2 linked regions of the Drosophila melanogaster genome follow. The protein of the gene in region 2 interacts with the protein of the main gene of each other region in a pairwise test. Each region holds a gene or a part of one and is shown on either strand. Other genes may lie near its edges.

The links.
Region 1: the proteins of CG11269 (region 2) and CG12290 interact in a two-hybrid assay, tested with the Drosophila melanogaster proteins (one large-scale study listed by BioGRID).

What each region holds. Positions count from the first base shown.
Region 1 is NT_033777.3:26,228,574-26,235,200, reverse strand, and holds CG12290 (uncharacterized protein), read right to left. Parts: upstream 4,954-6,627; 5' UTR 4,497-4,953; coding exon 2,100-4,496; 3' UTR 501-2,099; downstream 1-500.
Region 2 is NT_033778.4:22,136,399-22,140,882, reverse strand, and holds CG11269 (uncharacterized protein), read right to left. Parts: upstream 1,989-4,484; 5' UTR 1,942-1,988; coding exon 1,618-1,941; 3' UTR 1,588-1,617; downstream 1-1,587. Other genes in the region: gom (gomdanji), read right to left, coding at 1-242, 292-621, 690-735.

The DNA of each region.
Region 1 (6,627 bases), on a different chromosome or scaffold from region 2:
AATAAAAATAACAATAATATTTCTCTACGTGTACAATTCGTTTAAATTTTGAAATGAAACACGCGTATGTCACAATCATACAAAATTGAAATAATAAAGAGTTTAATATATATCGTGCTGTTTCTTTTCGGTTTATGAATCAATTAATACGGGTATGGGTGGCGGGCAAACGAGTGCTGAAATACTGAATGAAATGCTGAACTCGTGCGCCCCTCCGTCTGGTTAAGTGTTTGTTCGTGTTCTAGAGCTCTTGTCGGCAAAGTTGAGAGCAGGTTGGATGGTTGGATCGATAAATTCACTCGAATCGCTGGGGTCTCTATTAATTAGTGCGAGCCCAGAACTTTTTGGACCAACCTCTGGAGCTGCAGATGTGGAGATCAGCGTGGGTATGTTAGAATCGCCTTCAATCCCCCAATTGAACTGCCCCCAGTGAAAAAGTCAAGATAATTAATTCTTTTAAGACACATAATCTTTTATTTGAATAGTTTCTTGCTCTTTTTGTGGTTTGGTATGGTTTGGTTGTGTTTTCGTTTTCGAATTTATTAGCAGCTTGGCTGGAATATACCGGATTTGACTTGCATCAACCACCAATAGTTGCTTTTCTTTTCGGATTAAAAGCTAATTTGTCACATTGAACTTGGTTTGGTTTTACATTTGCTTTTTGCGCTTACATCGAATGGTTTAGCGAATGACAGTTGAATAAATTTGAAAAAATATCACTATTTAGTAAAGTATGTATACACACATAAGCTTGTATATATTATAACTATTAATACATGTTTTAAGTTATTTTTAATGCATTTCGAAATTACATTCTTGGTTGCCCCCTTGCTCAACATCACAATAATTGGTTTTGAAATATTTCCTTTGTCCGACACACATGCATGAATATTTATAGATATTTCCTATGCACACACTCTTTATAAAATATAAACTTTAGAAATATAAATTCGAGGTTTTTTTGTGTTGTGTGAGTGTGTGTTGCTTTTGTTGCCTTTTTGTGCAGCCAAGGGAAATCAAAGCAGGAGAACTTAAGGTATAAAGCTTTCTGGCCTGCAGCATAGTAAAGCAAATGATACAAATGCCAGGGGCAATCGAACATTTTCCATGCATTATGCATGGGCCGTGCCGATGGCTCCGACCTTTGACCTATTGCCGCCATCCATCTCGCACTTCAAATTATAACTAATGAGGTATTTAGCTGCACGCAATGCCCGCGGTGTTCTAAAAAGCAAATTGACTTAATGGCCCAATAGCCGTTGGCTAACCAAAGGCTAACTAACTGCTGACTGACATTCTGGCCAACTGGAAAACCAACTGTGCACTGGCCAAAATGCATTTTCAATATGAAAATGCCGCCTGCAACAGACGCTCCAGTTGGGCAGGTGAAAAAGCACTGCTCGGCACTAGGTGCTCGGTGTAAGACTACTCGGCTCTACAACTTAAACTCTAGAATACACATATGCTTTGCACATTGACTTAATTAACTTATGAATCGAATGTATGCGTCTCTTCTTGTTTAGCCAGAATGTTTTTGGAGTTAAAGCTTTGCGGCGTGGATGTCTAATAAATATTTACAATTGTTTCAATAAATAATAAACTAGTTGGGGAAGTTCGAATAAGCTGTGCTGTCTTTGCTATTTTCCTGTGATTTCATCTGAGTAAAAACATTAAATGTTCATATGCAAGTTGCTTAGGTACATTGATTACGATCTCAACTTGGCTTGGCTTGGTTCCACTTTTCAGTTTGATATCCACCCTAAGATTATAACTCCCATCACTCTCAATCTTTGTTAATTTGACTTGTACACAGTTTTCTATTTTTTAAAAGGTACTTTGTTTTGTTTTTTGTTTTTTTCTTTTCTTTTTTTGTTAATTTAAAGCATCTCAAACTTTCTAGTTTGACTTTCTTTGTGGTTTTGTTTTTTGGCATGAGAAGCTTCTAGGACAGCATGATCTGGTCTTAAAACTCAAATTCAAACAGTTGTCTTTGTTAATTGCTAGACTTACAAATTACGAATACTGTTCTTAGAATTCTTCAGCAAGCAAGTTTAGTGTTTGTTTACCTTCCTATATGTATAGTTATCATAACCCCCCGTTTAGACCTCAGTGGGCAAACTCTGGCTCTGGCAGCCCGCCTGCAGTTTCTTGGAGCTGCGGAAGAACATGTCGAAGAGCCTGGCGCGCCGATTCTGGAACTTTTGGGGCATGGTTGGTGTTATAGCTATGTGCTCAACGATGGTGATGCCCCTCTGCAGCTTGGGGCGCTGCGGTCGTGTGGGCGGTGGAGCAACTGCCACAGTAGGTGGTGGTGTTGCCGGTGGCTGCTCATCGGAGTCCGCTGAGCCCCTGGCGCCACCGAAATTGATGATGGTGCTGCAGCTGCTGTTGGGCCTTAACGTCAAGGTCGTATGCACCGGCACTTGACTGACCAGGGAACTCTGGGGGGTGAGATACTTGCAGCTGTTGCTGCTGTACTGCGACAACTTGCTGCTGTTGCGCTGCAATTGTGCACCACTTGCAGCAGGACCTGCGGTGCCATTGGTCTTTACACTGCTGCTGCAGTTGCGCTGCAGGCCCGACGACGAATCCAGACCAAACAGCCGCTTGACTCCTCGCCTCACCCTCTTGTTCCTGTAGGCGAAGATGAATGGCGAACTGAGATTGGCCAGCAGGATCATGAAGATGGCCAGCTGGGAGGATCCGCCAAAGTTAGCAGCCGACAGTCGCGATTGCAGGAGTACCAGCAGTCCGAAGGGCAGGTACGAGACCACAAACATCACCACCACCAGGATGCTGATGCGGGCTGCTCTCGACTCCTCACGGTATTTGAATAGCGAACTGGCGTTGCTCAAACGGTGTCGCAAGGAGCTCATGTAACTCAGAGCCTTGGGGGAGGCATGAATGGCGGGTATCTGGAGGGCGTGGCCGTGTTGCTGGTGGCGCGGCGAACTGAAGTGCGGATGATGTTGCTGGTGGTGATGATGCTGTTGCTGCTGATGTTGCAGGTGCAATTGCTGCTGCTGCTGCCGCTGGGCGTGACCCAAAAGATGCGGAGAACCACACTCCTCACTGAGCGAGTCCTGGCGCAGTTCCGTGTACTTGTGGAGATTGGGCGAACTGTGCACCTGGCGTATGCCCTGCAGACGATTAGTCTCCCTCAGATCCTGCGAAGAAGTGCCCAACAGGGGCAGCTGTCTGGCGGAGTAGTTCCTCTTTATTTCACCACTGGCTGTTTGCAGAGTAAGCATAATGTTCTGATTTCTATCTGACAGTGAGTGCTCCTGTACGGGCATCAGTTGAACTCCGGCTCCACTTTCCGCATCTGAGCCACCATCATCCGAGATGGTGGGCAAAAGTACTTTCGCGGCCGAGTCCCGACGGAGACAACTGGGCGAACTCCTCGGCTGTTGGCGCTGATCAATTTGCATTTGCAGACCGCCCAAGCCCAAGCTGCTGTTGCCGCCATGCGAACTGGCCGAGGATATGGAATGCCGATGAACACACAAGCTATTGGAGAACTGGTTGGCTTGAGCCGCCTGCTGGCCAGCCGTCAGATTCAAGGCGCTCTGCAGCAGCGGCGAAGAGCCATTCTGGCGCATGCGCAGCCCATTTCCGCGCGCCTCACTGAATATCCTCCAGTACATTCCGCACACGAAGCCGAAGGGCAGGAGGATGATCACGATGAAGTAGACACTGGCGTACACCACTCCGAAAATACTATTGGTGCTGCTGATGTTGAAGTACGTGACTGCCAGGCGGCGTTGTCTGCTGAACAGGGCGTCCGCCTCAAAGTCCAAAACTCGGAAGGCGGAAAGGGCTCCAAAGAGTATGCCCACCACCCAGGTGAGTGCTATGAAGATCCAGGTTTTCACGCCCGAAATGCGACTGTGGTAGCGCAGGGGATCCGTAACGGCACACCAGGTGTCCCCCACCACGAGCAGTACTGCCAGAGCTCCCAGCGCAGCAGTCATGTCTATGGACCAACATCTCAGTTGGACGGGCGGCAAAATGGGAGCCTCCGTGGGTAAGCTCTCAAAGGCCGAGAGATTCTCTTCGTGTGTCTCGGTTTCCGTGATGACAAAGCCACCATCTCCGCGCTCATCGATGGTCAACTCGCGACAGTAGGTGGCATTGCACTTGAAGAAGGTCTCCACCGTATCGCCGTTTTCGCTGATGTTCCTTCGCACCACCACGCCGTCCTGTTCCACCAGCTGGCCATTGCGACGAAGTATCACCTGATGGTTTCCCGGCTTCGAGAAGAACTCCAGGGTCTCGGCGTTGGAAGTGGATGCCTCCGCAGACTTTCCCGGCAGTCCCAGGAACAAAGTGGGGGCCAAGATGCAGCAACCAATGAGATTGATGGCCAGCAGGTTGATCGTAAAGCGATTGGCGGTGGTCCTCAAGCCAGGCGTTATCCAAAAGGCACACAGCGCCAGCAGGTTGATCAGGAACGAGACGAGCAGCAGGGCCAGGATCAGGAGGTCTATGGCCATTCTTTATGCTGTTTTTCGATTACCACACATCACTTTACAGTTTCACAGTCACTTATGGCCTTTTATTGAATTTGGCTTTTCGGTTTTGTTTTGGCTCTGCTTATGACACAAATTTCACTCGGTAGTATATCCGCTGTCTCTCGTCTCTTCACATTTGCAGCCAAATATTTTTGGTTTTTTGTTGAATACCCTTTTTTTTGTGTTCAGTATTGTATGCGGTTTGTTTCTTGCGAACGCTTGCTAATTTACGTGCGAGATTTGTAAAAAACAATTTCTTTTTTGCTCTCAAGCAGTTGCTTTTCCACTTGTGTTTATTATGATTTTTCGTGTCTTGTCAATTGTCTTGCGACCGTCTGACTCTTGACTCAATTTTGTTCGCCGTGTATTTATCACGCGCACCGATCGGACGAGCACGATCTTCACTCCGAAGCGTTCCAAGCACAACTGTCGTGAGCGTTCGCCCCAACGCCTCCAAATATACGCGACTGCTCCACAGGCGGGTGCGAGCGAAACGGAGAAACGCCAGCGCGAGAACGGCGAGCGAAATGAGCGATCCGGAGAGCCACGAGTGCTCGAGTGTTGCTGCAGTTGCTGTTGTTGCTGCCACTGCCGTGATTTGCGATTCCCACGCTCCGACTTTGAAATTATGTTGCTGCAAGTGGCCGCTGCACTGTTGCCAGCCGGTCTTTATCACTAGTGGTTGTTGTTGCTGCTGCTGTTGTTGCTGCTGTTGTCCTAGTTCAGTGCGGCAGCAACACAAATTGTATAATCTGTTTCTTTTTTGCAATGCCAATTGCCGCCGCTTCACTTTTGCTCTGTATTACATCACTGGCTCAATGTTATAGCTGCTGCTGGTGCTACTGCTGCTCGTGCTTTTCCATTTTCCAAGACACATTTTCTTCTGGCTTCTGCACAATTTCCAATGTGCAACACAACGGCGTTCGCGCACTATTTTCTTAACCATAAAAATTGCATTTTTATTAGGCCGACTGCTGCTGTGAAATGAACAACAACAACAGCTGATGAAATTCCCACCGTCGGGCGCCAGCTGCAAGAAAAGAGCGAGAGAGAGAGGAAAAATCCAAATTAGAGCGAGACGACGCTTGGGGAGATATGTCCGTAAGATAAGGCACGGTTTTATTATTGCTGTTTTGATTGTGAAATTAAAAGCAAATAGAAATAAACGCTGGACCAAGATGATACAGCAGATTTAATCCCCGGCTACCAAAACCCGCTCGACAATGACTCAGAAAACATAACAACTCAATTTCGCAAACTAAAAAATCGGCACGCTCCCTGAATGAACATATACAAATTGGTTATCGCAAGTTTTGCGATAAGAAATAAATCCAGTTTTTTTTTTCCACTGGGGAACTGTCCAGAAGTTCGTCATGGGTACTTATAGTCAATTACCTTAAATCGCATTGGAACCACACCCACTCAGCCCTACACGCCCGCTTCACATGAAGGCTCTTGATTATAGTTAACTGTCTTTTTATAACTACGCATTATCCCATGAAGTCGGTACACAGATCGGACGACGATCAGGCGCTTACAACATGACCGGAGAATCGACTCTAATGAGCTCATCGCAAATTCTACTCGGTTCCCAGTAGTCATAAAAAGTTTGGGGCATCGAGCCAAAAGTCAATGCCACAAGGAAAGTTTTTGGTTTTTTTTTTTTTTTTTTGTTTGAGATATTTTCTTGGAAAATATGCAATAAAATATGCCATGTTGAATGTGTATTTTAAATTCCACTATTATTTATCTATATTTCCATGAAAGTTCTCAATAATATCGTAAGGCGTATAGCGCACGATGACTTTATTTTTAGCAGTGCATTTCATTACCGTTACAGTTCTATGGAACACACCAGCCGAATATTTTTTCTGTGAACACGCGACCGGAGACTGTGAAAAATCAACAGAAAAGCAATTTTCTTCTGGGCCATTTTTTTTTTTTGTGTCAGGTCTGAGCGGCGTTTGCATGCCCTACTTACGCCAGGAGATATATATTTATTAATAGCTGCGATGCCCGCAAACGAGTCGTGAAAATGCCAGAAGATGCGAAATGAATGATTGCCGATAAAGATGGCGCGTTTAATTGCTAATTTGCCCCAAGAATCGTCACG
Region 2 (4,484 bases):
ATCCAACTCGGCGTCTGTGATGCCGCCATCCATGTCGCGTTGCATCAAATCCACCTCCCTCTCCATGGCCTCTTTGGCACGGCGTCGACGTATGCCCAGCTCCCTGGCCTCCACTGCGTCCTGATGGCGCTCCTCACGCGCTTCCTTCTCCTCCCGTCGGCGCTCCTCTTCGATCTCAAATTCCTCCATCTCATCCTCGTTGTAGGGATACTCGGGAATGGTCCAATTTAGACAGAGGACACCTGAGATTAAATGGTGCAATTGCTATACGATATAAGTGGCTAATCCTACCTGACGACAAGGCAAAGCCCAATGTTCCCCCTGCTGCCAGGATACCGGAGACAAGGATAAGGTTATAGCGGCTGTTCTTGGCTGACCAGGCTTTCATAAAGTCGCCTTCCGGCTTTGGGCAATCACTGAGCACCGCGTGCTGACCACCGCTGGCAAAGTAGCCCGGCTTCCGCTTCATATTCTTGTCGCCTCCAGGACATTTGGGTGGCGGCTTGGTGGACGGGGGTGGCGGTGGAGTGGCCTTGACCGCCTTAGCTGACCCAGGAGGCGTGGCCTTAGCGGCCATTCGCTGAGAAACCGTATTATGAATCAACATCTGGCCAAAGCGCACTGGGGATTCAGGAAGGTTTTATTCTACTTTGAAGCGAAAAACTTCTGGACATAATTCTTTCACTCACATCCCCTCTGGAGACGCTCTTTGGTAGCTATCAAAAATCGGGACATGGTACTTGCTCTTCACTTCCCTTCTCTGTGGGAAGAGACCTTTGATTTTCTTAGCCAAGTGTTTGCCTAGCAAAATATAAAATTTTTTTCGCGTCACAAACTTAAAAATCTCAATTTGATGTCAATATCAAATGTTTCTGAATTGAACCACTTTTCTACGAGTGTGTTTCATAGATTCGTAAAAAATACGATTCTACATCTGCATAAGAAATTGTACGGTCTCTCGGGTGGCACAATTATATAGAAGACCATCCATGGAGGAAATTTAGAATATTTCCCAGGTATTGCCAGATCTCCAAATCAGTTAACCCGAGTTCCCGAAAAAATGAGTAAATGCAGTGAACCAGTTTTCAGCAGACTGCACTTGGTTGGTGGTGATAACAAGCCAGATACACAAGCGTACAACTAGAAAATCGTGTACGATAATTTACACAACGGTTTTCGTGTAAGACACAAAAGCTCGGTCGATAAGAACAAGATACATAACCCCGGTGTAGACTAGACTACGGTATAGAGGTGAAAGGGGGGGGAATAGCCAGAACTGGGAACCCACACCCCATTCCCATTAGCATGTTTCGGAAAGAGAATTTCACGGAAATTTATGATGCCCAAAAGAGAACACACCTCGGTGAAGGTGTCACGTGCGCTGTCAAAAATCGGTTGGTCCGAGACGAATGCATAATGCGGAGTGGACAACAGTCAGCCAGACTTGAAATCGAAAAGTGGCTTGGCGATAAAGAAGTTAAGGCTAATCGCAGAATGCGGTCAACAAACTGGTTCTTTCGATCTTTCGAACCAACAAGTGGGTGGACGTCGCTGAGTGGGTGAAATGCAATTGGAACCATGAAAATAAATTGTTTATTCAATAACCAATCATACAAATCAACGACGGAATCGCAAGTGACCGGGACCCCGCTTGTAGAGTCGCTTCCTTCTCTTGTTATCCCGACGAATGGCCACTATCGCAATGAAGACGAATCCCAGATAGAAAACGGCGGCTACAAAGCACCGTGTGGACACGTCCTGGTAGGCCTCGTCCGCCTGCTCCTTGAAGGCCTCCTGACTGGGGAAGTGGTGGGGCAAGGGCAGGGACTCCAGGAGCATCAGTGACTGGACGTAGAAGAAGATACCCAGCAGATTCAGCATCAAGAAGCCCCAGGCGCTCATGAACAGGCAGAACAGACAGCACTTGCGACCACAAAACATTTTCAAGCTCGATTCAATTCTATGCGAACTTTGTGCGACAGTGTAGTCGAGTGTTGCTCTGACCGCAACAGGTGCCAAGTTTAAGCCGACTTCGAAAGCGAAACCGAATCCGAAATCGAAATCGGAATGTATTGGACCACATACTATTCATCCATCTATCTACATACGCTCGTACACAAGTACAACCTTGTGCGATTTCAGCGGCATTAGATCAGAGTGGTCGGAATATGGAGTTCACGTACCCGTGCCTCTCGCTTTCGGCGGCGTTGCGATTGGGTTTGTTCAACTCGAAATGGCTTAGATTCGGATTTGATCTTAGCCAATGATGGACAACTGACAGATATATCATTTGCACACATACATATGAGTATGATATAGAAGCAGCTCAACTTATTAACACTTGAAAAGCACGTCAAAAAAACGATGTATACAATATACTTCAGAACATCAAGCTTATGCAGAACGAAGACCTGCAATATATTTGATATTTCAAATCAGTGGCTGCATTTAGTTCTGCGTATTTATATATCAGAAGTGATTTTTAGAGAACTGAATGTAGGCCATGCCAACCAAGTAGCTGATTCATTAAAGGGCAGCCTCTGATTTGAATTCCCCTTGTGAATCATGCTCAAGAAATTGCAATAAAAATAGCCAACTAAATAAGTTTAAGCAATAATTAGCACAACTTACCGTGAGTGGTTGATGTTCTCGATAAATCCGCAGAGCAACAAAATTTTTGCCACACTTGCAAAGAAGAAGCAGCAGAAGAATTCACAATAAAGTTTTTACTAGTTTCTTGAAACTCCGTTACAAAACATCAAGTTGTTGTGAAAATTCGTAAGTCGTTTTCGCGGTTGCTAAACCTTTTTTACACTCTGTTGTTTTACTAACGTTTCCTTTATTATGTTTGTTTATGCGAATTGTCGTTAGTTTTATGGGTTACTAGACACGATTAGAGAGAAATCAAAAATTAGGAAAATTAAACAGAATTGATAAAATATTTTTTACTTATTGCACCACGTGTTGCAACTTGAGACATAATAGGTGTCAGCTCTAATTGAGTAAATATGTTTTGCTGGTAACTTAAGCTGCGGATTTCGTACAGCCACAGAAAATGGGGGTCAAGTCCATTAGGTTAAAACCCGATCCCCAAGCGAAAGACCTTGACATTAGGGCGGTTGCTCACTGAACTTGGTAATATCTTAAGTGTCTCGAATTCCCTTTGCGCAAATCAATCAACTTGTCTTATGAGAGCACGAAGAAAAATGAAAATAAGATCACTACATTTTTATTTAAATGATATTTCATAGCTTATTGATATATTTCTAATGAGTATTAACCTAAAGTTTGATCTTATATTTCAAGAGACGGATGTCAAAATATTATTCTTCGCTGATTATTTTCTCAGTGTGGGATTTCAGTTACAGTTATATGGTTGTTATTTGCCTTATTTGCTTAGCACATTCTTCTTTACAATCACACAGACACTTGCTTTGATTTGTGTATTCGTTTTTGTTGTAAGCGCAATTATCAGTACAAACATTTATAATAAAAAAAATTGCAATTTCAACAAAAAAAAGTGTTTAGCTTTCAGTTTAACTTTTAGCTTGAATTTGTTAATGTCTTCACTGAATTTTATTTGTGCTTTATGAAAATATAATGTACACACTGATAAGAGAATAATTCATTTTATGCTATAATAATTCACTTTATATATTTATTGTTTCTCTCACGTTTGTGATTCGCTTTGGGCATTTGTTGTTAAATCGGTTTGTTTCGCACTTTGGGACACTTCTCGATATTTAAACATAACATGTTTTTACGAATTCGCTTCTCGAAAACCGGTATGCAAATCCAAAAATCACCGCAATATATTCAAAACTATTTAATTGTATTTATCGAATTCTTCGTGCACCTTCACTTCGAGTTCTCGACTCCGATGCGACCGCCGCGCTACGAAAACAAAGATTGAACACGAGTTGCCTTGCGATGTGGCTTAAATAGTTTGCCTCTCTCGCTCGCGTCGCTCAACGAGAGATGAGAACGAGTCTCTCCAAAACACAAATTTTAAGAGAAGAGCACCAAAGCATAAAATCTGAAAAGAGAAAGGTAAAATTTTAAGCTCTTGTTATACCTCTTTCTTTCACTAATTGCATTTTTATTTTTAACTTATTTATAATTAGAATTAACATATAATTAATAATATATTAATAATTATTATTATAATTTATTGTTTAATATAATTGTAATGATTATAATTATAAACAATAAGTAAGAACTTAAATTTTTTTTTCTTTTTTTCATCCTTCATCAGATAAAGTAACTTTTTTTTAATTTTCTTAGTTATTACCATTCTCTTTAAATATTATTTCTCGTTCTACGATAATTATTTCAATTATGATTTAAATTGCATGCATTATGAGTGCACTTAGTAATCAAGTAGTACAGTAAGTAAATGCACTGACCAAGTGCCTTAATCGAGTCAGTCACTCAATTTGCTTCGCTTAATGTCATAGGTAAAGGTAAGCGGGCATGTGAAGGAC